Notamacropus eugenii: one gene and its partners. The protein of the gene in region 4 purifies or fractionates together with the protein of the main gene of each other region. This does not show direct contact. Links are inferred from orthologs where the notes say so. Each region holds a gene or a part of one and is shown on either strand. Other genes may lie near its edges. The genes, in order: LRRC59, ERLIN2, BSG and CANX.

Region 1 (7,802 bases), on a different chromosome or scaffold from region 4:
AATACAAAGGAAACCATATACAGGATAAATAGGAGATAATGAACACAGGAAAGACCCTGGAAGTAATAGGGTTTGGGGGAGACTTCCTATAGAAAGTAAGATTTTAACAGGGAAGGTGGGGCAATGAATAGCGTGCTTGGCTGAAATCCAGCCTTGGATAGTGAATTGATAATTAATTTATGAACTTACGAAATGGGGCAGGCACACTTTGTTCTTGGGGTACTTGCCAAGAATGACTATGATAACAGCTGCAAGAAAGGCTGCAGGTGCACTTGAAGAAGTTGCAGATGTAGGGACAAACAGGTACAGAAAGTACTGAGACAGCTGGAGAAAGGGTTATAGGAGGCAGATAGTCTAGGGACAGGGGCAGGGTGATGAAGGAAGGCCGGCCGCATAAGAATGCAAGGGCAGGTAGAGGGGCACAGATAAGCATGTAACCATGGATTAGAGGTGGGGGCATGTGAGTTGGCAGCATGATCTGATGGAGATGGATGAGTGTTTGGGGGCAAGAGTTTGAGGTCTCAGTTTGCAGGGTTTTGGGGAGAACAGATGAACTCTAATAAGTGCCACCTTGGGGTTAGTTCATTAACATATTCAAATCACCTCAGAGCTGTCAGTAAAACATTAAAGTTAACACATCCACATCAACACAAAGTTACCAGCACCATTTAGCGTTTTGCTCGTCTTACTGTGAATGTCTGGAACTTCTCTGAGATTTAATATCACAGGACCAAAAGATCCTGACAGGAAAGGCTTGATTCAGAACATATGACCAGGATGTGATTTTTGGTTAATAGATGATATGATTTATAAATTATGCTCCTTTGATCTTGGGGACTGTTTATACGTGACTTCTGGTTTGCTCTTTGCAATCTTACTTTCTGCTGTTGCTGCTTTATACTGACTACTCATAAACTTCCTTACTAGAAAGGATATGGGAGTGCAGGGAACCAGAACAATATACAGTTTTAACACAGATACTTACTAGCCATGTGACCCTGAACAAGTCATTTGACTGCTGTCTGCTTCCTTTTTCTCATGGAAGGCAATGGAGGTAATGATAGCACCCACCTCCCAGGGTGGTTGTGAGGCTAAAATAATAGTTGTAAAGCATTTTGCAAACTTGAAAGCACAATATAAATGCTAGCAGCTACTATAACTACTCCTCCTACCACCACCACCGCTACTCCTACTACTACCACCACCACCACTATACTACTACTACTGCTTTCAAAACTGTCCCATATGGCTTTGCTTCCTTCTGAAGTTCTTTCTGTTCTCTTTTTTGTAATTAAAAAATTTTTCAATGAGTATTTTTTTAACTAATATTTTTAACCTCCCCTCCCCAATCCCTAACTAGGAGAAAAAAAAATAAACAAGAGTCGGAGGAGAGTACTTTGTAACAACTAAAAATAATCAAGCAAAAAGGAATCCACACTGGAGCCATGTACCTAAAATGCATATCTCTTTGTTCATCTGGTGGTATCATTTCTCTGATGGTATGGTCTTCTTTGAAAACAAAGGACAAACACAACAACATCTGGTCTCCCCACCTCAAGCCTCTCTCTTCTGCAATAAGACTATTTTGTGTTGTCCAAGATCACCTAACTAGGAGGCACCACATGAAAGATACCAGGGACCTGCTTCTGGGAGAAGAAATAATTAATTCCCCTACTATATGGATGGGAACAGTGTGTTTCCACAGGCTGTATCTTTAAAAGGAAGAGGATGTGTTCTCTCTGCCTCTGTCTTTCTCTGTCTCTTTCCCCCATTTTCTCCCTCCCTCTCTCTCCTTCCTACCCCTGATCTGTCTCTCTTTCTCTCCTTCCCCTTCCTCCCTCCTTCTTTTCTTCTCTCTTTTCCCTTTCTGGCACTGTATAAGGCAGAGAGGTGCTATACATCCTCAGCACGGAGCTGCGGGCCGGGGTGGGGGTAAGAACCACCCTCCTTTTCCCATGAAGGGCTTTATTCTGTTTCATTTGTTCTTTTCAGTTCTAGGTACAAGAAGTGGAGTCTCCAGATCTGGACTTGAGCCACAGTGATCCTGGAGGATAAGATTCCAAGCTAGATGTTATTGCTAACTTAGCAGAGAAGCCCTGAAGAAGCCAGGTGACTGGGACTTGAGCCCAAGGGATGCTTTGAACTTGGAATTTGGTGGGACTCTGCTATATAGGAAATGAGCTAAGTTGTGAACCTCCTCCCCTTCTTCTCTTTAGAGATTGAGGTGGTATTGGGGAGAGGGAGGAGGAAGAGAATGTTTTCCATGTTTGTTCTTGCTATATTTTTAAAGCAAACACTCCTTCCTAAAAGCAAATCCAACTATTAACTGATTAAATGGAACTGGAGTGCCAAACACCCCCTAAAATTGGGAAAACCTCATTGGTGGGGGATTGAGCCAATGGCAGAAAGACCAGACACTTCCCAAACTACTTAAGGGTACCAGAGAACCCTGGGGGGAAAGATGAAATGTAGCACACTTGGTCTTCAGGCAGTGGGCCAGAATAGGCACTGTAATGCTTCCAAATATATTTTCCACCTAGCAACCAAAAGAGATTTTCTTAAGTGTGGATCTGATCATATTATCTCCCTCCTCGGTGAAATCCAGTGGCTTCCTATTGTCTTTACAATAACATGCATGCTATTCTGTTTGACCCTTTGCAAGCTGGGCCTATCTTTTCAGTCTCTTGTCCATGACTTCTGTTCTCCAGATAAACTTACCTTTTTGCTCTTCCTCACACTGGCCACTCCATCTTTAATCTCTGTTGCCTTGGCACCAGCTGACCTGCGTGACCAGAACTACTTCCTCCTCACCTCCACCTTCCAGATAGTCTCTGATTTTGTTCATGATTCAGCCTTGCAGAATTCCTTACAACAGCAGCAGCTAGATGACATAGGGGTTTTGAACTTGGCACATTGGAAGACTGATGGTGCCTTCGTCAGAAATAGGGAAATTTGGAAGAAGCAGGGCAGGGCAGTTTGCTCATTTCTAAAACAGGAATAATCATATTACACAACCTTCAGAGGTGGTGGTGATTATTTATTCATCTGTGTGAAACAAAATGAGAATGGTATCTTTTGAATCAGAGAAAAACGTTTCAAAGAGCGATGATTTGGATTGTGTATGCATCTCACAAGGTGCTGTCAAGTGGATAAAGATCTGACTGAAGAAACTGGGTCCAAGAGATCCATTGGACACTTTCTGTGTGACCCTAGACAAGTCACCTAACCTCTTAGTTCTCTGAGCCACCCCATAAAAAGGTGAGGATCAGTATTAGTAGAGAGTTTCCAACAACAATAATTAATAATAGCTTACATTTATATGGCATTTGAAGGTTTGCAAAGTGCTCTACAAATATTTCATTTTAGAGGAGGGGAATGGGAAGGGAATAAGCATTTATTTAGTATATTCTGTGCTGGGATGCTTTACAAATATTTTATCATTTAATCCTCACAAACACCCTGGGGGGGGGTGTAGGTGCTATTATTATTCCCATTTTGTAGAAGAGCAAACTGAAGGAGACAGAGATTAAGTGACTTGTCCAAGGTCCCACAGCTGGTAAGTATCAAAGGTCAAATTTGAACTTCAGATCAGATTTTTCTGAGTCCAAGCCTATCTATATGCTGAATCATCAAGTTGCCTAATCAATGATGCCTCAGATCTACTATATACATGCATACATTGTATGTAAGAAGGATTTTGTTATCTTTTTTAGAGTTCAGTTTCTCAGGATCCATGGGCATGGCAATGTCTAGTTTCCAGGTGTTTGACAATAATTCCCAGAATAATTCCAATGATTTAAGATAGCCATTCCCAGAATCACAGTGACAGTCCCACCGAGGCTGTGCGGTGGGGTAAGGAGTGACATAATATAATATTTACTATGCTTGCGCAGAATGACGATATTGCTGGTTAACCTGTGAGCTTAATGCTGGCAAGATGCCTTCTTTGTTGCCGTATAAAGCAACTGGGCACTGATCAGTGAGTGGGGGGGGGGGGGGGCCGAACCACTGGTAATGCATAGAGGAATGAGGTAGGAATACCTTCCTCAACCAGCTCCCATTGAAGTTTGAGGAGATTTAGAGGAATGCACAAACTGTGCCTTTCTCAATTTATGCCATGGAGAGGTAGGGCTAGTTGCCCCCTCTTCTTGCAGACCTCTTGGAGAAGGGTGATTGGGGAATGCTGCAGGAGCTGGTTCTCCCATTATCATCAACCTTTAGGAGAAGACTAGACTAGGATAAAGCTGATTAGTAACCCCTCTGAAGCTGTCTGCCTGTCTGACCAGATCCAGAGTAAACCTGTTAGAAGCTGGATTCCAAAGACCTCCAGTGCCTCCTGTATGTTACCTGTGACACATACATATGTGTGTGTATGGATATATACAGTCTATACAGTGGATCTGATGTAAATTGTGTACATGCAGAGTTAAATACTGTGTATATGGTGTGAAGCTATGTATACAAATAGTGGATCTGTGTACGTGTATATTCACGTATGTATTGTGTATGTGTGTGCATGTGGATTTCTATCTGTATCTGTAGACGTTATACAGTCTCTTTCCTGAAATACCTGGAGAACAGGGACAGTTCCATTTTTGTACTTTTATCCCCAGTGCCTACTACAGTGCCTGGCACACAGAAGGCGCTTAATAAATGCTGACTCATTGACTACACGGTTCAGGGTCTAATACGTTCGCGTGCACAACCTCCAACCCTCTTGCTTAGAGCGCAGACTGTTTTTCCACGCGCACCGCGGGAGCCTCCGCAGCACTAGGGGGCGGCATCGCGCTCACTCGCGCATGCGCTAGCCTCTCTAGCCCCCCTCCACCCGAGGCGCCTCGGTGTCTCCCGGAGGGAAGACGTGGACACGGAAGTGGCTGGCGGCCGCAGTGACGGAGGCGGGAACTGGATCGCGGAGTACCGCAACTGGCCGCGGAATCCTGGACGGAGGGTAGCGGGGGCAGCGCCAGGCCCGCGGGTACGAGGAGGTCGGAAGGGCAGGAACGTGGCGGGGGTCCGGGCCTCAGGCTTCTGAGGCTGTTATCGCCAAACGGATCCCTGGCCGTTAAACGGCCGTCGCGCGGAACCTTGCGGAGTGCCCGGGCGCGTGCCCGCCGCCGGAAGCCGCCCCCTCCCCCTGCCGAGCCCTCGCGCGCCCCCCTCCACTCCCCACATCTCCCGGAGCCATGGCCAAGAGCGGAGGCAAGGGGGCCAGCCTGCGCGACAAGCTGGACGGCAACGAGCTGGACCTGAGCCTGGGCGACCTCACCGAGGTGCCGGTCAAGGAGCTGGTCAGTGTGGGCGCCGTCCTGGGCCCGAGGGGGAGCAGGGTCTGGGAACCGGGGCCCTGGACTGGACACGTGTCATTCTGGGGGGGAATGGAGCCCCGCTACTAGCCGGGGCCGCGGAGGCCCCGCTTCCAGGCCCATCCCGGCGTCTTAGGCGATGCCCCTTCCCCCACCCCCGGGCCTCAGTTTCCTTCTCTGTGAAATGAGGGGCCGAGACGCGAAGATAGTGTCCGGCGCTGACCTCAGGTTCAGCCGATCCGAGGCGTAAGAGAAGCGGGGCGCCTGCTGTCTCTTTCTTAGGCCTGGAGGAGTAGGCCTTCCTGGAGACCTGGGTGTGGCTGAGGATTGGTGACAATTGGGAATTCTGCAATCCCAGCTGCTCGAAGTCGCCCAGAGCCATTGCTTGTGCTGGAAAAGTTGGGCTGAACTGGTGGGTCCGTCTCGAACATGTGGAAAGTGGATTGAACCCTAGAATGTTAGGACAGCCAGAGACCTTGGGGATCAGGCTATTCATTTTTACAGAGGAGGAGTTTGAAACCCCAAGAGGGGCAGTGGCGTGCCCAAAGGTTAGGATGCACACATTGGGGAAGGAGTATTCGACCTAAAACACCGGGGTTCAACTCTTGGCCCTACCACTTGTTAACATTATGATCTTGGGCAAGTCACTTTCCATTTCTGGACGTCATTTTCCTCATCTGTAGACTGAGTGGATCAAGACTAAATAAATGATGCCCCCAGAGTCCCTTCCAGCTGCAGTTTTTTGGTTCCTGTCTTATCTCTGGTCTTATTCTCAAATTCTTTCAACTCAAAACCAAATGGAGTTGGGTTTCCTGTGTTTAGCAAGGCATATTGGACAGGAATTCTTAATGGCAGTTAGATATATTTGGGGGGGGGGGTCATAAACTTGGATGGAAAAAATATATTCACTAACCTTTCATGGAAATTTAGTGTTTCCTTCCATTTTGAATTTTGGAAAACAGAAAAAAACAACTTTATTCTGAGAAATGGTCCATAGGCTTCATCTGATCGCCAAAGGTGTGGGCCAAAAAAAGTTAAAAAAAAAAACCAAAAAAACAAAAATAAAGCAACCCTGCTCTAGTCAGAAGGGGTGGTTCTGAAGACTTTTTAAGATGGATCTAGTATTGCTCTGAAGCCCTAAGTACTATTCTAGTATCCAAATTTTCCTTTGCTACATGCCCTGTGGCCACACTTTGTTCTTTCTATACTTTCATAAGTAACTGATGGCTGGCCTCAGTTTTTGCTCTATTTTTTGAACCCTGTCATCATTTCATTCTTGTTTTGTGCTTTTTAATCTATTCCGACTCCTCTACTTTAGAAGATATTCCATTAGCAAACAGATGTCACCAAGTATAATAACCTCTGACCAAATATGGATTTTACCTTTCTCCTCTGCTCTTTTCCTAGGCTGCTCTTCCAAAGGCCACAGTACTGGATCTCTCCTGCAACAAACTTACTTCGTTACCGGTAAGATGTGGTTCTCCTCCAAGTACCTGGGGGGATGTCCTTGCTCCAGGCTGGGGGACATGCCATGAGCATGAATCCGTAGGAGAGCCAATGGCTCTAATCAAATATATGGAGGCTAGTAGTTGTTATTAGGAGGAGCGATCAATAAGGACAGTCTTAATTTAAAATTATTTTACTGAATTTTTATAATGTGTAAGACCCTATGGTATATGCTGTGGGGGATACAATGAAATACATTTCTATCTTCATGGAAATTAAAGTCTAGTAGGGGAAATAAGATGACACAAATTAATCAAGAAAATAATCAAGCATAATCAGAAAACTGTATAGTGCTATAGAAGCTTAGAGAAAGGAGAAATTACTTCTGGTTTGGGTGATGTGGACTGAATGAATAAAGCATGTAAAGCACTGTGTTATGGCTGGGATACAGACAGAATAATCAAACTTCTACTCTAAAGAAGCTCACATTCTGATGGGGAAGACACATGGAAGGTTTTAACTGCTAATTGAATGAAAAAGTCCGTGGTCCTTAGGGTGCAGTAGCAAAGCAGATGGTAATGGCTCTTTAATATCATTTCCACCAGTAAAACGTTTGAGGAGGTAGAATTTGCGTTAGGTCTTGCATGGTGGCCAGGTCGAAGGTAGAGGAAATGATACTTCAAGTAAGAGTAAACAGCACATGCATAAAAAGCAAGAAGTTTTAGGCCATGTTTAGGGAAAGGAGAGTAGAGTTATTTTGCTAGTGTGGAGTGTATGTACACCTATATGTGTAGTAGGTATGAAATCTCAGAGGAGCTCAGTGTTCATGTATTTATCCCTGGCAGTAGAGACTGATGGTGGAAGAGTAGGGGTGGTAGGGCCAGCAGAGGGTGTCTGTTGAGATAACTTAGGTCATCAAAGCTGCTAATTTGAGAATGGGAACAGATAACTAGTTCCTCTTCTGGGCAGATCCAGCAGAAGCCATGAGTCAAAGCCATTCTTGGGAACTGGGTGAGAAACCAAGAGAAGCAGAAGGGGTATGAAGTCATG
Region 2 (7,701 bases), about 210 Mb from region 4:
TGAGCAAAGCAGAACTGAAATGGCACAAAGGAAACGCAGGATGTGCAAATTTGGAGCAACCACCGCAAATGTTCATGTGGACTATCTGTGCTCAATCTGTGGTAGGGCACTCTGAGCTCATATCGGTGTGATCAGCCAGTTGTACACGTTGAAACTTCACTTTATCATGGTGATGTCATTTTGGTCCTCTTCAAGAACGAAGGATAACAACTAACCATCTTACTACAAAACCTCTCCAGAGTCTTTATGGGTATTAGACTGCCTCTAATTCTGTTGCTCTTTACCCAGGATCTTGTCTTACGTGGCCCCAAAGATTGTCCCTTAAGGATCAGTAGAAGGAAAACTCTTGAACAACATTTCTATCTCCTAAAAAGTCCTATAATCCAAGGGAGAGCATAGGATAGAATTCAGATTCATCTTTCTCTTCTTGAGAGCCCTGGAGACACTAAACAACCTAGGATCTCATGAGTTAGAGAGGATTTTTAGAGGCATCACTTCTCCTACCACAATAACAAGTCATCATTCAGGCTCCATTTGAAGGCTTGTAGTGATTGAGAAGGCTCTCCTTCCCAAAGTAGCCCATCCCACTTTTGGCATAGTTATAATTGTCAGAAAGCTGTTTCTTGTATTGAGCTGAAACTTGCTGTCCCGCAGCTTCTGCCCAAGGTATCCAGTTGTGCTTTCTGGGACCAAGCAAAATAAGTATAATCCCAATTCCTATTGACAGTCCTTGAAAAACTGGAAAACTGTGATCCTGTCCTTCCTACATTTCTCCTTTGGCTAAACACCCTCAGGCTCTCAACTAACTGATCTTCCAATGGCACAGTCTGAAGGGACATATATTTGTCAAGGGGGAACAGGCCAGCTGCAAGTGCTGACTGACCAAATTATACAGGATGTCAAACGAACAGGAGACTATGGCTATGTAATTCCAGCCAGAGCCACCCAATGCTAACTGCAGGGTATTTCAAAGGAAACTGTTATTTACTCTTTTCACATGCTAGGGTGATAGACAGTATACGCACAGCAGGGTTCCAGGGCAGGATTTTCTAGAGTGCCTCCTCCTCTCTCCTTTCCCCCATTATTCATTTGGCCCTTAGTAGGGTAGGGACTTGTCACTTGGGAAAACGACTGAACACACAGCACTGCCTTATACACGGTACTTGAATAACACTTTATAGCTGATTATTCCCCAAGGATATCTGTTGAGACAAGCAAAAAGGGCTCAGAAGTCTAGAGTCTGGCCATGAATATCCAGCTGAGCTTAGACATCAGAAAGCTTTAGAGAAGTTATTACTGCATTTATTTTTTTGGCAATGACCTTTGAATAATAAGGGTCAACTTTTAACTCTTATGGGCCCTTAGCACCCAAGATTTACTGCCAAGACCATTTTTCATGTCATGGGACTGTTGGAACAAAATAAGTTCTTTTTGAGAGGGTGCACATACTACTGCTGTGGCAGCCACTTCTTAGATTTTCCACTTCTGTTCAGTTTTCCAATCAGGAAAGAGGCCTTGAAGAAAAAAATACCTTTTGTCCAACCATGTGTAATGATTTTTCATTTGGTAAACAAAGTCGCTGTAACTATACTGGTAAGGGCTGAAGGAATACAGTTTGGAAATATTAGTCAGTAGCTGGTTAGTTGAATCCCTATCAGCGAATTTTACCTTCTTCTCCTTCAACAGAAGGTGGGCAGGAGAATGGGAAAAGAAATAGATAGCAGGTATCCTCAAAGCATTAGCTTACACTTGCAAAAAAGCCAAGATTGAGGTCTCTGGATTCAACAGTCCCTATATGCCACCAGACTGGATCAAAAGCTGGTGCAACAGAGAGGTCAAAGAGTGCTATGGATAAGGTGGGGCTTGATCAAGTCCCACTTTGGGGTCCAGGAGGCATGTGGTTGAGGTGTAAAGTATTCTGGATTTGGAGCCAGCAGATGCAGGTTTGAACGTTGGCTCTTCAGTTTAACATTAGGTAGCATTTAAATGGTGCTTTGATGTGGTGAAGAACTTTGCACTAGCTAGCATTTATTTATACAGCGCTCTAAGACTTGCAGTGCACTCCTCCTTCCCTAGCACTAACACAGCGCTTTAAAGCTGGCAAAGAACGCTACACTAGCTGGCATTTTTGCCTAGCTGACTTTGAGCCGCTTCTTCAGTCGTGTCCGGCTCCTCCGTGGCCCCAGGGCGGGTTTTCTTAGCAAAGATCCTGAAGCGCTTGCCATTTCCTTCCCCTTCTCACTTTACTGAAGAGGAAAGCAGGGTTACGGGCTTGCCCCGGGGTCCCCGGCTGGGGAGTCTTCCTGCCCCCAGGCCGGGCACTCTGCCCACCGGGCCATTCGGCTGCCCTCTAGCTACCCTCACCACAGCCCTGGGAGGGGGCGCTCGCTATCACCCCGCTTTGGCGCCCAGTCCGCTGCTCCGGACCGCCTCTGGGCCACGGCACCTCCCCGGGCCTCAGCTTGGTCATCTCGGAAATGGGCGGCTTCTGACGGTCAGTCCGAGGCTGGGCCTTATCCCTCACAACACCAAAGCTGCCCAGGTCGTTGGCGTGGTCCTCGGGCCTCACGTCCGTCCAGGGCGGGGCGGGCCAAGCAACGTCGGGGGGCAGACGGCGCCCTGGGGCAGCGAGTGACCGAGGGTCAGGCGCGGAAGGGGCTTTGGGGATCCTTGAGTCCGGCCCCCCTCCCCCTCCGCGGACAGACGAGGAAACTGAGGCCCAGAGGTGGCAGGAGTCGGGAGAAGGCGGTGGGCTTGCAGACCCCCGCCCCGGAGGGTGGGAGCCCGAGCGGGGGGGCGGGGGGCGGGGGAGGCCCCAGGAGGGGAGAGAGTTGGGGGAGCGGGACGGGGCGGCGTCTAAGGCTGTCCCTCCTGGCGCTCAGTACCTGTCCGAGCTCCCTCCCCGGGGAGCCGCTGCCACTCCGCTCAGCACAGCACGTTTCCTCCTTCCGGGTCCGTCGCCGCCGTGACACGTCATCAGGAGGCGCGGGGGGCAGAATTCCTGTGTCTCCCTCTCTCCCTGAGCCTTCCTTCCCTGCCCCGCCCCCACCGCGCCTCTGCAGCCGGCCGCGTTCACCCGGCCCGATCGGCCACAAGGGGGCGCCCATCCCTCGGTCCCACCGACCCCCGGGAGGGCCTGGGCAGCGAATGGATGGATGGAGTCCTGTGGGGTGGGCAGACGGGGGAATAGAAAGTCGTGAAGATGGGGGTGAGGGGGAAGGAGGAGGATGTCGGTCTTGCCCTCCTGCCCTGGCCCAGGATGCAGGGATCAAGTCTCCCCATTTCACAGACAGGGAAGCTGGGCTCATGTCTTTAAGAGGGAAATCACGGGACCCTTTCGTGTTAGAGAGAAAGAGGGTCTGGAAGGGGGGCGGGCGAGGCCTGGCCAGAGCTTAGACGGGTCACGTCACTTCTCCGAGACTCAGCTTTCTTCTCTCCAGAGATGACTGAGGTGGTAGGACACAACACATAGAGGTTGGCCTTGGTGTTAGGAAGAGTCAAGAGTGGCCAAGGATAGATGGGAAAGTAGAAAGGAAAGGACTGAGCCTTAAGTGCCTATGATGTGCGGTCACTGTGCTAAGTGCTAAGGCTTCACAACATGAAGTCATTCAAGCTTCACAACCTTGGGAAGGAGGTGCTACTATTATCCTCATTTACTGTTCAGGGAACTGAGGCAGACAGAAACAAGTGACTTGCCAAGGGTCACTTAGCTAGTGTCAGAGATGGATTTCAAGTGTAGGTCTTTCCTTACTTCTAGTTTAGTGCACTTTGCGCCATATCCTGCTGTTTTCAACAAATGATCTTCTAGCCTCCACTTAAAGATCTCCAATGATGGGCATCAGGGTAGCTTCTTGTACCATTGGACCGCTCTAATGATTAAGAAGGGGCTGTTCCTTCTGTGGAGTTTAAGTCTGCCTCTCTGCAGTTATCTCTGGCCATTGCAAGTCTTCACTCTGGCCATCATTTCCACTCTTTTCTTGCTGGAAAACTGGGCTCTTTCCCCTTGGAACCTTCTTTGGCTTTTGGTCAACATTGGCCTCGTTTTGCTCAATTCTAGGTCTTTATGGCATTCCCAGATACCTCCATGACAAATGTATTCCCCTTCTACACTCTGTCCTTGTGCAGATCTCTTTTATAGATTTCATTCCCCATTAGAATGGAAGACCCTTGAGGGCAGAGACTGTCTAGCATGCTCTTATTTATATCTCTATGCTTAGCATTTAATAAATACTCTATGTATTTATTGTTTACCCATGTATCTATGTCTGCTATCTCCATCCATCTATCTATCTATTTATCTATCATCTATCTACTCATTATGCCTAGTTCTTTCCCCTGGAGCCTAGCAAAACTGGTTTAATCTCTCTTCCACATGACAGTTGTATAGATATAATGCCTCCCCTAAATATTCTCTAGGCTCAGCATCCTCAGTTACTTGAACAGATTCCCATGTGACATCTTCCCATCCGTCTGTTCTCTGTTCAGCTCCCTTTCTCTGGTTCTTTAGCCTGACAGTTTCCTTTCTACTGCGTCCTTATGAGTTCAGAACTCAATGCAGCATGCCAGGTGTAGTCTGAGGAGAACAGTGTCCCATCACTTCCTTCATTCTCAGTTGTGGCAAAGTGTCTGCAAAGGGAAAGAAGGGTCTTACATCTTCGGTTTTTGTAAGTATTTTGTTAGGTCCAAGATACAAAATTGGAGAGGAGAAGAAAAATGGAAATAAATGCTATGCCTGTGGATGCCTAGAAAGAGGGTGCCTAGAAGGAATGAGGAAGGAACTTAGGTCAGTCATAGGGGAAACTCCCATTTATCCTGGGGGTAGAAATCAGAGACCCATGATCAGGCAGAGAAGACTGAGAAGAAGCAGTAAGACAAGTAGGAGGAAATAGCAGTTCTACAAAATTAAAGGAGGGTATCCTACAAAGCCTAAGAGCTGAAGAGAAGAAGAATTTTTTTGTTGTTGTCAAGTTGGACACAACTCTTCATGGCCCAATTTAGGGTTTTCTTGGCAAATAGGCTGGAGTGGTTTGCCATTTCCTTCTCCAGCTCATTTATAGAGGAAGAAACTGAGCAAATAGGGTTAAATGACTTGCTCAGGGTCACACAGCTAGTGTTTGAGGTCAGATTTGAACTCAGGAAGATGAGTCTTCTTGACTTCAGGCTCAGCGCTCTATTCATTTCACCACCTGATGAAGGCTGGTAGAAGGTCACTGGCTTTAGGCAAGGAAGACAGTTGTTGGTAATCTTGGAAGGAGCAGTTTCACAGAAAACAGGATCATTTGTTTAGGAAGTTGAGAGTGGTGATTGTGAAATATCTCTTCTTATTCCACCACAGAAAGCTCAGTGATTTCTAGATTTTAACATGGTACAGTAGAAAGAATGCCGGGTTCAGAGTCTGAGGATCTGAGTTCAAATTCTGATTTTGCTGCTTACTGACTATATGTCCTTATACAGGTCACTTAACCTTTATGGGAATTGGTTTCTCATCTGTAAAAAGAGGGGATTAGATTGGATGACCACTGAGGTCCCTTCCAACTCCAAATCTGTGATTGAGAGCCTATAATCCTGAGAGTCATATCATAAAGTGGCTAAATCAGAAATGCCCACAATAGGCCATGGTTCAAAGCCACCATAATTCTTACTCATTCTTTATACATTGTAATCTGGTGCTTGGGTCTGCAGAAATAAAGTTGTTAGAAACCTCAGAAAGAGAAGACTTTTTATTTCATCTCCTGCTGGGGCTAGGTGATTTTGTTTCTATTTCATGGAAAGATGTGTAGTATGGTATAATATAAAGAACATTGGGCTGAAAGTCAGGAAAGTTGGTTTTGAGTGGAGGCTCTGACTGTAATTAGCTGTGTGGCCTGAGGCAAACCATGCACCCTCCTCCACCTCAGTTTCCTTGTCTGAAAAATGAAGGAGTTGATCTAAATACCTCTTTGCTCTGTTTGAAAGAAAAAGTTTGGGGACCATGAACTCATCCTAATGGATTGGCTCACAAAGAAGGGAATCGCTTATTCTCTGGAAGGACAGATTTAGGGAGGGGACCTTGTTGTAAATCCAACTGAGAAGGACTTTCATGCCACTTAAAAAAATCAGGCCCGAAACAGCCATAATGTTTGTCAGGCCACATTTTACTGTTCTTAAATAAGTGTGCAGGGTGTGGGAGATGAAATATGGCAGGTATTTGATTTAAAAAGCCGGCACAGATTTAATGTCCTGATAAAATGTATTAAATCTTTTAAGGTTTTAATGAATCTAGTATGTGTTTCATAAATCAAGGAACGCCGGGAAGCCGTCTCCCAGTTTAATAAGAGTAAACTAGGAAATTGCTCTGAGCAGAAGCAAAATACATTTATATCACATTGAAAAGTAATAGATTTTTAAGCAGTGGGGTTTTTCTGGGGCTTTTCTGAGTCGTTTGCTTATTACGTTGCTCTGGTTCCTTCAAATATTAAACCACGGGCAAACACGTGCTTAACCATATAAAGATGTGAAACTGCACAAAGGTAAATATTATTTGTTAGAGCCGGGAAAACAAAGCCTGTGCTTTGCAAAGTTTTCCACCGGAGCCAGACTGTGTTTCTGTACAGAAACCTTCTGGACATGGTTTAACACTGCTGAAGGCAGAGGGGTTTGTTTTTGTTTATTTTTTTAAAGGAAAAGATTATTATTGTTATTATATATTAACTTTTATTAGCCCCTCCTCTTCCCTAAATTCCCTCCCACCTCCCTTTATTCTGAAGTACTACCTTCCCTCTTTCCTACCCTTTTCTCCACTCTCTCTCCGCCCCCAACTGCTTGATTGAAGCGGTGAGTGTATAAAAATCCTCTTTGACTTTTACTGGTTCGCTTTGGAATGGGCTCATTAAGGCAGATTGCCTGTAGTCGGTCAGACTGGCCAGAAGAGGAGTCCAGGAGCCTTTCGTCGCTTTTAAATCCAAGGAAAAGGGGGTTCCCTTCGGTCTTGCTCTTCTCACAGTTTTTGTATACATCTCCCAGTCCCCTCTCCCTCCCACCAGGCCTGGCCTCCTAGTCAAGTTCCCTGGCCCCTGACTGGGGCAATGCCTTCATGTTGGGTGAGGTGGCCCAGGGCAAGGAGACCTTTGCTCTGGGCCTTTGTTCCCAGGTGCCACTGCCTTGGGCAACTGCAGCCTGTGGCGCTGGGGAGGTGGCCTTGGGTCGTCAGTTGGGGGTTGGGGGGCTCCAGCATTCTTGTGCACAAAAGCTGGCAGGGCTCGTGAGCTCTGCAGGGGAGGGAGCGGGGGCCCATAAAGCTCACTGTGGAGAAGCCTGTCCAACCTCATTAGCTGTCACGGGCAACAATACTGATCTGGCAATAAAGGCGATTCCAAACCTGTTGGTCATTAATCACTCGCCTGACAGTTTCGAATGGCGCTGGAAAAACCTCATCCCTTTCCACCACCCCCACCCCCTTCTCCTGCCCAGGCGCTAACGTTTAGAGCTACCTCCATGGGTATATGCGGTTCGTGTGGCTTTTTGTGTTGTTGTCCTGTTCCCCTGGGCCACCCCTCCTCCATGTGCCCAAGAGTGATGGGGGCAGGGGGTGGGGGTGGCGTACCCAGCCTGGGTGGCCTAGAGCTTGGCAGTAAAGAGAAGAACTTTGTAGGGGCAGAGCTGAGAAGTGGGAACTGCAGTTTCCTTGAGGCATCGATCTGGCCACTTTGGGGGTGAGAGGTC
Region 3 (7,797 bases), on a different chromosome or scaffold from region 4:
AATTCTTTCTCTACATTAAAGAAATCACAAATTTGAACCAAAAAAAATTAAATAAACAAGAGTTATAATCTCTGCCAATTACTCCTATCAAGACAGTTGTGAAGGGAGCCTTCTGTTAACTCCAAAGTGCATGAAACATGAAAGTCCCAGCAGTCCCTCCCATTCCTCTAACGATGTCCATACATTCCCCTTACTTCTCTTTGCTGTTTCCATTTCCTGTGTAAGCTCTGAGGATCCTTATCCCAATTCCCCCTCTCACTGAAAGGTTTCCCCAAAACATGGCTACCTGTTCCTCCTCAGGGCTCTAGGGGTATCCAATTCCAAATCCTCTGACATTCTGAAGTTCCCCAGCTCCTTCCTTGGTGAGGGAGGAGGGAGAGAAGGAGAGAAGAAAGACTACTTTTCTTCCCCACCCCTACTAGTTTCTCCAAGTAATTCTTTCTCTGAGGTAACTATTCTCTTTTCTAATCTGTCAGGCACTTGAATACTAGGTTCTTAATTGGCTTGTTATTTTTATAGAAAACCCAAAGAACCTGACCAAGTTTCTTCAGTACGTCACAACACATTTCATGTTCCATCTAGCTGAACTGCATCGATAAATTGATTGATCGAATGGTTCGTATTTTTGGTTGATTTGATTGAGAAATCTGGTGAGCTCTCACCCTAGTATGTATACTAGGCCATCAGAGGAAACAATTAGCTCTAAATGAAACTGTTGTTTTGAATCCGTCTCTTACAGAGGCTATAGAAACTGTTACTGCCTTTTTAAGAGCATAAGAAGTTAAATGGAACTCTGACAGTATGGTTTTTTGCGGGAGGGGGGGGGGAGGGGGGGGCGGGGACCATGGATTGAAAAAGTCAATTCAGATGTGAAGTACCTCTCCTTAGAGTCAGGAAGAAAGTGCTGAGTGTTTGGTTTGGTTTGGTTTGTGTGTGCAATCCATATGGATCTATGAAATATCAGCTGAGAGAGGTCTGACTGTGTATTTTTTTTCCCTATGGAGTTAGGGAGGTAGTGGGTGTTTCATCGGTGATCCACAACGATCTAGAAAGGAAGGAGGAAGGGAATTAGCATTTACTTAGTGCCTACTATATCTCATCTGATACTCACTGCCACCCTAGGAGGTAAATGCTAATAAAATTATCCTCACTTTACAGTTGAAGAAATTGAGGCAGACAAAAGTTAAGGCTAGAAAGAGATGTTGGGGCCAGGCTGTGAAAGGCTTTATAAACTAACTAAACAGGGAAGTTTACATTTTATCCTAGGGGCAATAGGAAGCCACTGGAATTGATTGAGTAGGAGAGTCACAAGGTCAGATCTGCCCATCTGGAAAATTACTTTAGCAGCAGTTCAGGGGACGGACTGAAATGGAGAAAAACCTGAGTCAGGGAGACCAATTCCGAGGCTGTCATAATAATCTAGGTTGAAGGGGATGAGTGCATGATGTAAGGTAACAGCCTGGCACTGACTGAATATGTGGGGTGAGGGAGAGGGAGGTGTCCGGCATGATGCTGAGGTCACCCACTTGGGAGACTAGAAGGACATCTGTGTTTTTGACAGAAATAGGGAAGTTTAGAAGAGGGGGGAGGGTTTCAGGGAGAGATAATGAGTTCAGTTTTGGACACATTGGGTCAGAAAAGTCTCCTGAATATTCAGTTTGCAGCTGGAGATGCTGAACTGGAGAAGTCAAAGGAAAAAACTCATATCAGGACAGTATGTGAGTCATCTCTGTAGAGGTGATAGTTAAACCCATGGGAGTTGATGAGTTACCAAGAGAAAAATTACAAAGGGAAGAAAGAAGAGCCTGTGATGGAACCCTGGGGAACCCCAATCATTGAGAAGCTTGATCTGAATAAAGATTCAGCATAGGAGCCTGAGAAGGTTGGCCAAACAGGTAGGAGGAGAACCAGGAAGACATAATGTAATGAAAACTTAGGTGAGAGTAATCAGGAGAGGGTAGTCTACGGTGTCAAATGAGTAAGGAGGATGATAGGTGATGAGAAAACTCCATTAGATTTGGCAAATATGAAATTATTAGTGAAGTCAGAAAGGAGAGTCTCAGTTAAGTGATGAGGTATGAAATCAAACTCCCAAGGGTTGAGGAAGGGAGAAGAGGTAGTGTAGACACATCTTTCTAGAGTTTGGCTGAAAAAGTGAGGAGAGATGTAGCTGGTAGCTTGAGAATATGGTAAGGTCTAGTGAGAATTTTTTAAGGATGGCAGAAATTTGAATACATTTGAAGACAGTAAGGAAGAAATAAACAGATAGGAAAAGGTTAAAAATTTGAGAGGGGGGGAGAAGGACTGAAAATGCATCCTGCTGGAGAAGACAGGAGGGGACAGGGTCAAGTGCATATTTAGAGGGGTTGACCTTGTCAAGGAGAAAGACTACCTCTTTGTCTATTTCATTAAATAACAAACAGGGCAGCTAAGTGGTGCAGTGGATAAAGCAGGAGTCAGGAGGACCTGAGTTCAAATCTCACCTCAGATACTTGACATTCACTAGCTGTATGACCTTGGGCAAGTCACTTAACCCCAAATTGCCTCATCCTGGGTCATCTCCAGTCATCCTGATGAATATCTGGTCACTGAATTCAAATGATTCTGGAGGAGAAGTGAGACTGGTGACTTGCACAGCCCTCCCTCACTCAAAACAAAGTCAAGTGCAAATCATGTCATTATTTCTCCGATGGCATGGTCTTCTTCTGCAACAAAGGATAAATGCAAATAACAAACATTTTAGTTATTTAATTTTTTATTTAACTTATTTAATTTCATTTCAGAAACATAGGAGATGATGTCAACAGGTTTTGAGAGGAAGAGAATGGGAGAAGAGAGAACTCATGTTAAATGGCCTTAATTTTCTCAATAAATTAAGAGGCCAGAGTCTTAGTTTTGAGGTTGAAGAGCAGAAGGAGATCTGGGAGGATTGAGGAAGGAGGAGATTGGTTCTGTCGTTAATGAGAGAGGGAATCAATTAGAGAGGAATGAAAAGATTGCCTTGTTTCAGAGAAGGCTCTGTTGAGATTGCAGGACATGAATTAATATTGTGCCCTGTCAGCACAGTTTTGAGACTTCTTGCAATTCATTTAGCAGCTTTGGAAGAAGAAAGGAAAGAGAAGGAGAAGGAAGAGAAGGAAGAGAAGGAAGAAGGGGAGGAAAGAAGATGAGGTTTGGCAAGGGAGGACCAGGAACAGAACTAGGAGATGAAGGATATTCAGATCCTGCCTCAGACACTTACTAGCTGTGTGATCCTGGGCAAGTCACCTAATCCTGACTGCCTCAAAAAAAAACCAACCCTAAAACAGAGAACTGTGTAGAGGTGAAATGTCTAATTGTTAAGTTGAGAATGGAGAAGGAGAAAAGTATTCATGATGGAGGATATAGAAGTCTTGATGAAGTTCAAGAACAGTTGAAGCAGAGGGAGATAGGAAGAAAGGGGGATTCATGAACAGTCAAGCAAAGGAGAGAAGATTTATTAGCAGGGTAACCATGAGGAAACACACAACCTCTCTGGGTCTCAGTTTCTTCATCTTTTTGTTAACTCTACTCAGTTTCCAAGCACTTGTTCTACTCATGATTGCCTGTGTAAAAAGCAGTGGCTTGTTTCATTTTTTAAGTTATTTGATTTAGTTTCAGAAACAGTGGTATGACTGACAACATCTGTAAACAGAGGGACAAAATGATCATCTTGCAGATTTTTCTCTGGAGAAAAAGAAAGTCCGTTAGCTTTGCTTTGTCTAGCAAAAGATTTCCTCTAGGCTGATGTTGCACCTGAAGAGCACACAGGTGACCCTGGACTTGCCTTGCTGATGCCAGGCTAAAAGAGGAGAGAACAGATGCCAATTCAGTTCGAGCCAACAATCATTAAGGGCTCCCTGTGGATCATCTTGGATATATGAGGGTTGTGTATGTGTTCCTCCTTCGCTTTCGAAGACCATGACATCAGGGAAATGATGACTTGACTTGCACTTGACTTTGTTTTGAGCGAGGGAGGGTGGATCCATGAGGGACTCGCTAGCTCAATGAACCTATGAGCTCTGCCACGCAGGGATACCCAGGACGGAGAGGTCATAGCGGAGAGTTTTGGCAATGGCAATCCACTCCTGTAGCTTTTCCAAGAAAACCCCAAGGAGAGGACCAGACAGGGGTGCTGTGGTCCACGCTGTCACGACTGAACAACAAACGGAAAGACAGGACGCCGAGCTGCGTGTAAACAAAGACTGAGCCATGGGTGAGTGTGGTGCAGAGATAGGGCAGGATTTGGAGACGAGAGTCCTGGGTTCGAATGCTGACCTTGCCACTCACTAGCTCTCTGACCTTGGGCTACTCATTCACCCACGCCACGCCTCAGTTCCTTCGTTTGCAAAATAAGGGACTTGAGCTAGATGACCTCTAAATTCTTCTTTAGATCTCTGATTCAGAGGTGAGATCTGAAGGGCTTTAGAAACGAAAGGAAGGTGAAATAAGTGGAGGGTAGCTCAGTTTACTTTGCGGGAGGCCCTAAGCGTGCACAAGCTCACATCTTCTGACCTACAAAGAGCACTCCTCCCGGCCCCGCCCGTGGGCGGGCCCTTCGTCACTTCCCTCTCTCCCTTTCCCACAGGCCCCGCCCAGTCTTCGGAGTCGCGGGCCTACTGGAAGGTGATTGGTTGTTAGAGGCCCGCGGGGAGGGGGAATGCAGGGGTGGGGACGGGGCTACGGGCGCGAGCCCGACGGCGTTCGCGTACCCGGGCTGCGCCTCTCCTTTTCTTCCGTCACCGCGTTGTGCGCGTGCGCTCCCGAGCCTCTCTTCCGCGGGCTCTTATAGCGGCGGCCGGAGCCCTACGCGGATCCAGTGACCGAGCGAGCTACCGAGCCAAGGCGCGGGTCGGCCGCTCGAAGACTTCGGGACCGCGACGCCGCGACATGGGGGCCCCGCTGCTGTGGCTGCTGGCGGCAGTGCTGCTGTGCGCTCGGGCCGCCTCCGGAACCGGTGAGTGGGGCTGGGGCCGCTGGAGGCCCCCGCGGCCCGGGCCCGGGGACCGTTGGGGGTGAGGGGACCCAGGGTGTGCCCGGGGTGGAGGGGTGAGCCATGCGGGCTGAGGAAATGAGGCTCTGGGGGCCCCGCGGGAGGGACACAGGCTGGAGGATTGAAGTTCAAAGGATTGGGGGGGTCGCGGGTTAGGGGCCTCTGAGGTTCAAGGGGTCCCGACGGGAGAGGGGTGCAGACTGGGGGCCTGGGGTCCAAGGGGTCCTGGAGGGGGAGGGGTGCAGACTGGGGGCCTGGGGTCCAAGGGGTCCTGGAGGGGGAGGGGTGCAGACTGGGGGCCTGGAGTTATAGGAGTCCTGGAGGGGGAGGGGTGCAGACTGGGGGCCTGGGGTCCAAGGGGTCCTGGAGGGGGAGGGGTGCAGACTGGGGGCCTGGGGTTCAAGGGGTCCTGGAGGGGGAGGGGTGCAGACTGGGGGCCTGGGGTTCAAAGGGTCCCGGGAAGGGTAGTAGAGGAGCGCAAAAACTAGAGACTTGAGACCCCGAACGCTCGGGAGTGAAGGGCCCCCAACTTGGGGACAGGTAGGGGGAGATGAAGCCTCAAGGTTGAAACGCTGGAGGGGACCTGGTGGGGGAGCTATGACTGAGAAGAGTTGGGGTCCTGGGGGGTCAGGAGGGGGCCTTGTATGGGGGAGGCATGTGAGGCGGGAAGGGTCAGGGACCTCGGGGGGAGCAGCCTCGTGGGGGTCTCGGAGGGGAGAAGGGAAGGATTCTGCCTGGCGCCTGGCTGGTGGGGGTGGAGATGGAAATGAAGTGTGACCCTGTGTCTAGAGGAATGGGGGCGGGGCTTTGGGCCTGCGGAGATGGGGCCTCCCCCGGGTGGGGGACTTTGGGGTTTAGGTAAGGTTGGGGAAACTGTGTTTGAGGACCGAGGCTCCAGGCTCTTAGGGAAGGATGTCTGACTCACAGCCCGTTTAGCAACTCGAGTCTCTGTCACTCCAGGGCTCTTTATATTTTCAACCCCCACAAATGGGGTCTGTTTGTACTCAATTTAGGCCAGAGCTATCTAGCCTTCATGTGACATAGGGTGGGAAATGTTTATGTAAAGGAAGATATCTTTTCCTCCTCTGTTTAGTTCTGGATTAAAGCAATTACAGGCAATAAAAATTTTAGCTACAACGGTTTTGTGGGCTTGATGTTCTGAATTCTGGTGAGAAATTCAGCTTGACTGCCATTTACTGGGGGAAGAGTTTTGCGAAAGGTGAAATAGACTTCATTGTAAGGAATTTTTCCCCCTCTGAAAAGACATAATTTATTTTGTTATGAATGATGGCTAATAATAGGATATATGTGTTGTGCACCCACATGGAAGAGAGAGAAGATTTGGAGTACAGCTATGACCCTTGAGGGTTTTTTCATGAAGTCCTTTTTGGACAACAACTATAAACTGCAAGTATTACTGTCCCTATTTTACAGATGAAGAAAATGTTCCCAAGATGGGGAGCAGTTTGCTCAAGGTCATAGCTAGTAAATGTTGGAACTGGAAAATTTCTGCCTTCCATTTAAATGTTCTTACCATAACACTATACTGAAATTTCTGTATCTCTAGCTATTTTCATTTTAATATTCTCATTATTACTGTGTTTCTGATTTTTTCCCCACTCTGCTCCTTTTCTCTTTTTCATAATTAAAAACTATTTCAATGCTCCCTGCACTAGACACTTGTGAAGAAAGACGAGATCAACAAAAACGTTGAACCTTTATTCCCCTTTATATTGTAGCCCTGGGAAGAAAGAAAAGCTAGAAGAAAAGAAAAAATAGAAGTTTTGCTCTTGTACTGAATTAATTCACTTTTAACTTGTCTTTAGGTCATGCTATTTTTGCCACATGGGTTTGTCTTCAATTAAATTTTATTTTTTCATTTATCAAGCATTTATTCTCCCCTCCCCCATTTCTTCAAGAAAAAGTTTTTATAACCTTGTAACAAGTGAACATAGTCAAGTGAAACAAATTATCCATACTGTCCAGATTTTAAAAATGTGTCTTATTCTGCATATTAGTCCGTCCCATCTCTCTGTCAGGAGGTGGGTAACATTCTTCATGATTGGTTCTCTGGAGTCATGGTAAATCACTGTCTTGAATAGAGTTCTTAAATCTTTCAAAATTGTCTCATGTATAATAATGATGTTATATAGTATAAATTGTTCTCCTAGTTCTTCCCACTTCACTCTACATCACTTCATATGAGTCTTTGAAGGTTTTTCCAAAACTATCTCTTCATTTCTTACAGCCCAGCAGTGTGCCATTATGTGAACATAATAATTTATTCAGCCATTCCCCAGTTGGTGGCCACTCCTGAATTTCCAGCTTTTTGCCACTACCAAAAACTGCTGTAAATATTTCCTATTTCTTTAGTTTCTTTAAATGACTCATTTTGTGCCATAGACAAGTTTGGTTGCATACTCAGGAAAAAGCAAAATAATTATTATTCCATTAGGATATTTTTCTCCCTGTGATTTGGTTCATCTGCTTTCTATTCTTCTCCTCACCTAAGGGAAAATTGACATTTAGTCCACTTAATTTGGGGGGAGAGAGGAAGGAGAGCTGTTCTCTTGCTGTAGTCAGATTGCTTGAATCAGTTTGATTTTTCTTGTAGTAGTTGAGATACCAAAGAAGAAGATTTCTTGACCCAGATTATACATCTTGGCTTTGTTTGTTCGTTTCTTGCCCTAATCTTGGAATGTAGCCAACTCCTAGTTTTCTTTAGGTGAATTATCTGCCTTATCTACAAAGAACTATAGAGTAAAAACCTAGAGGGGATCTTAGAT
Region 4 (7,962 bases):
GCAAATGCACAGCCTAATATTATGTAACAAAGTAGCAGCAAGGATTTTTCTTCTAGAACCACTTAACTCAGTGGGCTTTGTAAGATTATCATTCAGCAGTTTAATGCTAGTTATCAAAAACAAAAGTCTGCTCTCCATATTGATACCAAGGATCTGCGTTTACTGTGATAAAGGCACTTACAATAGATACAACTTGTGTATTAGTAAAATCAGAAAAGAATACTCAGATCCCCCAATATCTTAACAGAAAAAAGTCCTGTCTAGTCTCAAATTTAACTTACTACATATACCTGTAGTGCCAATACATGTCACTTTAATTTCAGTTTTAAGATTTTTTTTTTTTAACCAAAGCTTCTTTATAATTCATTCACCTACTACATTAGGTTGCACAAAGTGAGAATTACCATGAAATTGACAATTACTCTTAAGCCCGGACTAGAGCGAAAGAATCAAAAGAAAAGCTGCCTCCATGGCTCAAGAAAGATCCACTTTATATTTGGTAACAGATCATCACAATAGTACCCCATTAAAAAAATATTCAACAAAGCTCGATTCCAAAGCAATATTCAAAACCACACAAAAATCTAATTCAAAATTAAAAGTAATTTGGAGTTTCCCTTCCAGCATATTTCTTTCCTCTCCCATATTGTAGACACATGTCAGTACTGCCTTCCAAATTGTCCCTTAGTGGCAATGGTGAGATTTACCACCAACTCCAAGTTTATTTTTCTTCATCAGCATAAATGCCTTTGCTTATGGTAAACAGCTAAATTTCCCTGCCTTCTCCCCAACATCTCAACTAGATATGTGTAAAATGTTTAGTGCAGTGCCTGACACATAGCAGGTGCTCAATAAATGCTTGTTCCCATCCCCAAACATTTATTAAGCACCTACCAATACAGAGCAATGGTTATGTGATGTTATAAAACATATAGAAGGTATACTGCCTATCCTCTAAAAATCTAGAGAAATACAACATCAATATGAATTTGCAACACAATACCATATAAGAACCTTGAAGAATTAGAAAGCAAAATGCCAGTGAGGTCTGAGGAGAATGTGATTATTATCAAAGAAGGCATTTGGGATGAAGTTAACATTTAAATTGGGATTTAAAAGCTGGGTAGGATTTCACAAGATGACTAGGGAAAAAGAGGGTCAACTTCAACAAAGGCATAAAGTTGAGTGTGCTATTTGCGCTCAGGAACACAAGGTTGTCCAGTTTGGCTGGATCAGAACATGTTAAAGAATAATGTTTGGAAAGGTAGATGGGGTGATTCCAGGCTTGGAGCCTTGGATACCAGGAATAGTTGTTGAAGTTTACTCAGTAGGCAGGAGAGAGCCACTTAAAAAGATCTTTTGTTTGTAAGTGTGGCATGACCAGATCCATTTTCAAAGGTTATTTTGGCATTGGAATGAAAGATTGAAAAGGGCTGGTTAAGAGTTCAAGAATGGATGGATTCCAGAAGATCTAGTCACACTGATTGACTCCAAAAATTTTAATCAATTCAGCGAACATTTGTTAAACACCTGCCAGTGCAAAAGGACCGCTGCCCTCAGGGCAAACTAGGTAGAGAGTGGTGATACAAACCAGTACTCAGGAATCTGTTTTGATAAAAATATAATTAATGTGCTTTTGGACATGTTGAGGTCTAGGTCTCTGTAGGATGTCCAATGAAGATATTCCTTAGGCATTTGGAGATGTGTCTGGAACTATAAATTGAGGAATTATCTGCACAGGGTTAGAAACTTGGATAGTGGTATAGCCAAGAGAGTGCTTGTCGAAGGACAGAAAAGTCTCATGGGGAGCACCCACGTGGAAGACAGAATTTAAAAGTGAGAATATAATGCCTGAAACAGAGAAAATATTACTTCTAGTACTGTATCAGAGCTTAAGGGACCTAGAAAATGGTATGGGCTTAAGACCACCAAAGAAAGTACTAGAAGAATGAGGTTCCATACAGCTTTGCCAATCACCTGGCTGTGTGACCTTGGGCAAGTTGCTTCCCTTCTCTGGGCCACTAAAACAAGGAGATCGGCCCTGGAAAGGTTATCTTTCCAGAGATAAGATTCCCAAAACTCTTTGGAATACTTATGACTCTCTAAAGACAAATGAAGAACTATATATAGACAGACGTCCACGTTCCTAACACTTAGGAACAAGTTTTTCGACCTGTCTTCCAGCAGTTTCTTTCCCAACAAGTTACCTACCCCCTGAGCGAGGTCCCCTTTCCCACCCTGCCCCCGTTTCGAGATCGTTGGTTTCTCAACATCTCAGCCACCTCGTGGCCGGGAGGGTCTGCCTTCTTCGTCCGGTACGTTCCCGGGCTCTTGCCTAAACGCAGGAAGATGGCTTCTCTCTCCCCCGCGCCGCCCCAGGCCTGTCTCTCCCCAGAGGCCTTCCCACTCGGGCTGGGCCAGGCCGCACATCGCCCGCCTGGGGATGAGCGAACAGACAAGGGGCACGCGGGCCTCCGAGGCGCCTGGGCCGCCGCCCGCTGCGGCGAGCCCGGCCCGGAGGTCACGCCCCCCTCCGGGCTCCGGCCCCGCTGACCTCCCGTCCGGCCTCCCTCCGCAGGCCTCTCCACTCCCACAAATCTTCGCACGGGCCCGGCTCCGGGCTCCATCCTGCTTTTCCGCTGGGCAGTCCCGGTCCCCAGCCCCAGACCGCGTCACTCCCACCAGTCCTCTGGTCCCCAGGGCCTCAGGCCTCTTCCCCCACCACTCAAGCCTGGCCAGCCTAGGCCAGCCCTCCTCCGCCCCGGACGTGAACCGACCTCCCAGACCCCGGCCGCCCAAGTCCCCAGGACTAGGGCAGCTGCGTCCGTCTCACCTCGTGCTTCGCGGCCGGCGCCGGCGCCACTTCCCACCCCCTCGCCCCACGCCCAGCACCTCGGATGCTGCAGCGGATCGTCCCGAAGCGAACGTCACGTGCCTCAGGACTAGGAGGACGCCGAGCGAACCCCAACGCGCGCGGCGCCCTGCCCAGGCCCCACCCCTAGTTTCTGATTGGTCAATGCTGCATCTCAACCCTGCCTCTCTCCCATCGTGCTAGCACTCCATTGGTCTGTTTGACCATCGCTCCAGATACCTTTCCACACGCCCCCTAGGGCTACTCTTCGTGGAGGATGCGGATTGGCTAAAAGGGAGGGCAGGAAGTGCCTGCTGATTGGATGGAAGACAGCTGGTGGGGGAAGGGAGCAAGAGCAAGGAGGGAAGGCCCTCCCGACTGACTGTGGGCCAGGAATAGACCAGACTGGGCGGTGACGGCCTTTGGATTGTAGCACTGGACTCCACCCGTCCGCCTCCTGTGGAAGCCTGGGATTGGGAGATTAGAAGAGGGTCGGTAGCCCTGGTCTCCGCGTGGCGCTAGTGCAAATGACCCAGGATTTTAGCTCTCCCCCTCTCTTCCTTGACTCCCCCTTCGGTTTCCCGCGCGCGCGCGTGCGCCCGCCTTCATGATTGGCTCGGGGCGGAGAGAGCCGGGGCGTGCAGATTCCTGGGTCAGGGAGGGGCGACCTGGCCCGGAGCTAGAGATAAACACCCGCTGGGCACCCTCCCGGGCCTGCCGCCCGCTTTACTCTAGCCAGCCCGGCTCGTTCGTTGCTTTCCTGTGAGGGCTTTGCGACCCGACACTTTCTTCCCACTTTCCCCCCCGTAGACAGGCTGGAGAGGCACTGGCCTAGGAGCACCCAGGCTTCCCAGCTCGCCTCCTTTTGAAAGGGCTGGCACAGATAATGAATGGGATTCGCATTCCCAGTGTACACATGGGCAGCCGGGCCAGGCAGGCCAAAGACTTGACAGCGATGCAGTGATCTGCGCGCAGTCGGGTGGTTTTCCGAGTTAGCGCATTAAGCAGACCGTCCCGCGTGGGTAACGGCCGGTGCCGCCTTGTCTGTGAAGCCTTGCTGGCCGTAGAAGTACCGAAGAAGTAACGGACTGGGTGAATGTGTCTAAACACCCGGACGTCACGCTTCCCAGGCCCCGGAGATCTCTCCAGCCTTTCGGGCTTGATTTCCCCGCCCCCACGACCGCAGGCCCCTCAGCCTCCTGTGACTTTGGGGCTTTTTGAACCCGGAGCTTGAAGAGGGATCTTGTTCTTTCATTCAGGGTCAGTGTTGTGAGCCCCGGCCGGGATAGCAGTTTAAGTTAAACATTCAAGGCCGGGATACGTTTCCTTATTGGTCTGTGTTATGACACCAGCACCCCCTTCCTCTCCTGCGTCCATCCGCTCTCTGGGCTGGCTCACCAGACGTTCTTCTCCGCTTTGGGAAACAACTGCCCCTGTTGCCTGAGGCCTGTGCTTGATGGAGTTGGAAAGGGCATGTTTCCCAATTTCTCTGTCTTTCCCTTGGGGCACCCTTATTAAATGGGTGCACTTCCAAATGCCTACAGGATGCCCTACCGTACCCCAAATTTAACACGTCTAAATTGGAACTTGTCACTTTTTTGCCAAAACTGACCCTTTTGGCATTTTCTGTCAAGGGCAGAGCCTTCCCCTCTGTTAGCCAGGATTAAAACCATGGTGTTACCTTTGACCCCTCTCTCCTACCCCGTCTCCATTGAGTCCCCCTTTCCGCCACCTCCCCATTTCAGGCTCTTCTTCTTGGCTGATTCAGTAGCCCTCTAAATTCTCTGTCTCCAATTTCTCCCCAGCCCACTCTGCACACTTGTGTACTCTTCTAAGCTATTTCCCTCATGCGCAGCCCTGTCATGTGGCTAAATCCACAGTATGACATAGCAGCCAAAGGAGTGCAACCTTGGCCCGCACCAAGAGAAGTCTGGTGTCCGGAGGGAGGGAGCTGGCAGCGCTTGCACTGGTACCGTGTCCAGTTCTGGATGCTGTATTTTAGGAACCCCGTGAACAAGCTGAAACAAGAAGTCTGGCAGTTCGGATGGAGGAGGGAATTGGACATGATCAGCTGAAGGAACTGTGTATGTTCAGTGTGCGAAGGAGAAAACAGATTTTTTTTTCATCATTTTGGGGAGCTCTCCTGTGAAAAATGCTTTCATTGAGGAAACTCCTCTGTAACTGCTTGTCTTAGAGTTATCAAAGACACTGAGACGTAAACTTGTCTGGTCACATGACCAGAATCTATTAGAGGCAGAACTCCAATAGGCAGCCCAATAATCAGTCAAAGAAGTCTGACTGGACTATTTATACCAGAAAGGCCAAGTGGAAGAAGAGCACCTTTTACCCAGATTACAACATAAATTTGGCTGGACAACCTATAGTACTTGCCTATCAGCATGTATATCTGGGACAGATAGTACAGCCAAAGGAAACTTGAGAAGGGTTCCCAAATACAAATAACCTTTCACCTCCTTAATTAAGACTGGGATACCTAGGGAAGCAGGAAATTGAAGAAAAATTTTACAGCAAGTTTCTCTGACAAAGGTCTTATTTTTCAAATATATAGAGAACTAGATCAAATTTATAAGAATATAAGTCATTCTCATTTGATAGACGGTCAAAGGGTATGAACAGGAAGTCTTCAGAAGAAGAAATCAAAGCTATCCATAGTCATGAAAAAATGCTCTAAATCACTATTGATTTGAGAAATGCAAATTGATACAACTCTGAGGTACCACTTCACACCTATCAGATTGCCTAATATGACAGAAGGGGAGCATGACAAATGTTGGAGGCGAAGTGGGAAAATTGGGACACTAATGAACTGTTGGTAGAGTTGTGAAGGGATGCAACCATTCTGGAGAGCAATTTGAAACTACTCCCAAAGGCCTATATACTCTTTGGCCCAGGAATATCATTTTTAGGTCTGTATCCCAAAGAGATCAAAGAAAAAAGAAAAGAACTTATATGTACTGTTATGATTGAAATCAAGATAAACTGAGAAACAAGATCCCAAACATGATACATTTAGTAGTTAGGCAAGCAGTACCCAATAAATTGGGTCAATGGCCTCTCTCAATGACCAAAGACCCTGAGTGAGGGCTAACAGGGTCTTTTATAACAATTGACAAGATGACAGAGAAAAATTTCCGGTGCTCTAAGTGTATTATCTTCTAAAGAGGAGGTGGGTTGAATCACCTCAGTTCCTTCTCATTTCTTCCTTTTGGGGAGATAAAAGCAATCCTAACTTGAAAGGGTTAGCCTACAGACTTGAATCAACTTGAATCTGAATTGTTTTCCTTTTGCTTTTTAAGAGGACCAATAACTTGAATCTTGGGTGAATTTGATTTAAATGAGATAGAGTTGCACAAAGTCATCAACCTCACCCTCTCCTCCTGAGTCATCATAGGCCAGTGGCTAGATAAAAATCAGGAAGACTGGCGGTGGTGGAGATGTAGTGGATTACTTTGGAATCTTCAATGTCTAACCAAGATCTGAGTTCTTCACTTTAAGGGACTGCTTCAGCTGCCTTCATGGCTGAACAAATTGTTCTCATCTGCCTATTTTGCCAAGGAAGAGTTTACATGCTTAGGGTAGGCATCCCTATCATTCACCCACAGGTTTGAGGCCCTTGGGTTACCCACAAACTGGATTGGCCCATCTGCCCAATTTGGTAGTGGGTGGCCCTTTGTGGATTCTACAGCTTCTTGGAGCCCTACGTGATAGCTAAGTAAAAGGTGAAAGGTGGACACGAAAGTTGGTGGAGTAGCTCTGAAAAGGGCTCAGCAAGCCCTCACACCATTGAGGCTGGTCCTCCTGAAACACCTCATACACCCCTGAACTTAAGTGAGTAGTGGATGAGGTTACAAAGGTAGACAATACAAGGGTGAAGATTTAATTCAGAACAGAATTGAATTCTGAGTAATTACAGGATTCTTTAAATAGATTCTTTAAAATATAATTAAAATCAGTTTTAAATTTTACGGTACAAACAGTACAAAAATATTTATAGCAGCTCTTTTTGTGGTGGCAAAGAATTGGAAATCAAAGTAATGCCCATCAACTAGGAATCAGCTGAACAAAGCGGGGTATATGATTGTGATGAAATGCTATTGCACTATAAAAAATGATGAGCAAGATAGTTTCAGAAAAATATGGAAAGGCTTATATGAACTGATCCAAAAATTGAGCAGGAGATCATTGTACATAATAAAAGCATGATTGTGAATAACTTGGTTATTCAGATCAGTGTAATGATCCCAGATAATTACAAAGGACTTATGATGAAAAATGCTATTCACCTCCAGAGAGAGAACTGATGGAGTCTGAATGTAGATTGAAGCATAATTTTTTACTTTAATTTTCTTAGAATTTGATTTTTTGTTTGTTTGGATTTTTTGGTCTTTTTCTTTTTTTGCAACATGACTAACATGGAAATGTGTTTTTCTTGACTTCATATGTATAACATATATCAAATTGCTTGCCTTCTCAAGAAGGAGAGAAAGGAAGAATTTTGAACTCAAAAATTTTAAAAATAAATGTTAAAAATTTATTTACATGTAATTGGGAAATGTTTAACAAAATAAAAATATATTGGGAGAAAAATGGGATATTTGCTGAAAGCAGGCAGGCATAGGAGCCTTTATAAATGTCTTGGCCTTGGCCAACAGTTTCAGGAAAGAATTCTTCTTCATGTTTTGGAGTCAATAAACAAAACTGATTTCCCATTCCTTTCTACCTCATTCAGTATCCCACCTAACTGAGCCTTGGGGTAAGGAAAGATTCTTCTTCCCAAGATGAGCAAAAAAACCCCCCAAAACAAAAAACAACCAAGAATGATACCCAGTGTTGGTAGTTATTTATTCCATTAGTCTGACTGTGCTGGGTACAGAAGGTCAAGAAAGGCAGCTGGGGAGCCTGCTATTCTCCCTAACTACATCTAAGTTTCAAGGTCATACATTTGGAGCATGGAGTATGTCTGTTAAAGTTCACTAAAGGTGTCATGCTGTATAATCAAGGGACACAGAGGTTTGGTTTTATTGATCCAGGAGACTTGGTTCCCATTTTTATTTTTCCCCTTGGACACATAAGTAACTTGTCTGACATGA

What was found.
Region 1: the proteins of CANX (region 4) and LRRC59 purify together in Homo sapiens (affinity purification with mass spectrometry; 3 studies listed by BioGRID and IntAct, with this or other methods). This does not show direct contact. The link is inferred for Notamacropus eugenii from reciprocal best matches to the Homo sapiens genes CANX and LRRC59.
Region 2: the proteins of CANX (region 4) and ERLIN2 purify together in Homo sapiens (affinity purification with mass spectrometry; 4 studies listed by BioGRID and IntAct, with this or other methods). This does not show direct contact. The link is inferred for Notamacropus eugenii from reciprocal best matches to the Homo sapiens genes CANX and ERLIN2.
Region 3: the proteins of CANX (region 4) and BSG purify together in Homo sapiens (affinity purification with mass spectrometry; 3 studies listed by BioGRID and IntAct, with this or other methods). This does not show direct contact. The link is inferred for Notamacropus eugenii from reciprocal best matches to the Homo sapiens genes CANX and BSG.

The regions. Positions count from the first base shown.
Region 1 is NC_092873.1:360,388,776-360,396,577, reverse strand, and holds the start of LRRC59 (leucine-rich repeat-containing protein 59), read left to right. Parts: upstream 1-4,795; 5' UTR 4,796-5,186; coding exon 5,187-5,291; intron 5,292-6,713; coding exon 6,714-6,773; intron 6,774-7,802.
Region 2 is NC_092872.1:623,278,583-623,286,283, forward strand, and holds the start of ERLIN2 (erlin-2), read right to left. Parts: upstream 3,008-7,701; 5' UTR 2,886-3,007; intron 1,631-2,885; exon of another isoform or gene 1-1,630. UniProt on the Homo sapiens protein: Component of the ERLIN1/ERLIN2 complex which mediates the endoplasmic reticulum-associated degradation (ERAD) of inositol 1,4,5-trisphosphate receptors (IP3Rs) such as ITPR1.
Region 3 is NC_092875.1:69,278,758-69,286,554, forward strand, and holds the start of BSG (basigin), read left to right. Parts: upstream 1-4,791; 5' UTR 4,792-4,908; coding exon 4,909-4,975; intron 4,976-7,797.
Region 4 is NC_092872.1:416,716,758-416,724,719, forward strand, and holds the start of CANX (calnexin), read right to left. Parts: upstream 3,016-7,962; 5' UTR 2,834-3,015; intron 1-2,833. UniProt on the Homo sapiens protein: Calcium-binding protein that interacts with newly synthesized monoglucosylated glycoproteins in the endoplasmic reticulum. It may act in assisting protein assembly and/or in the retention within the ER of unassembled protein subunits.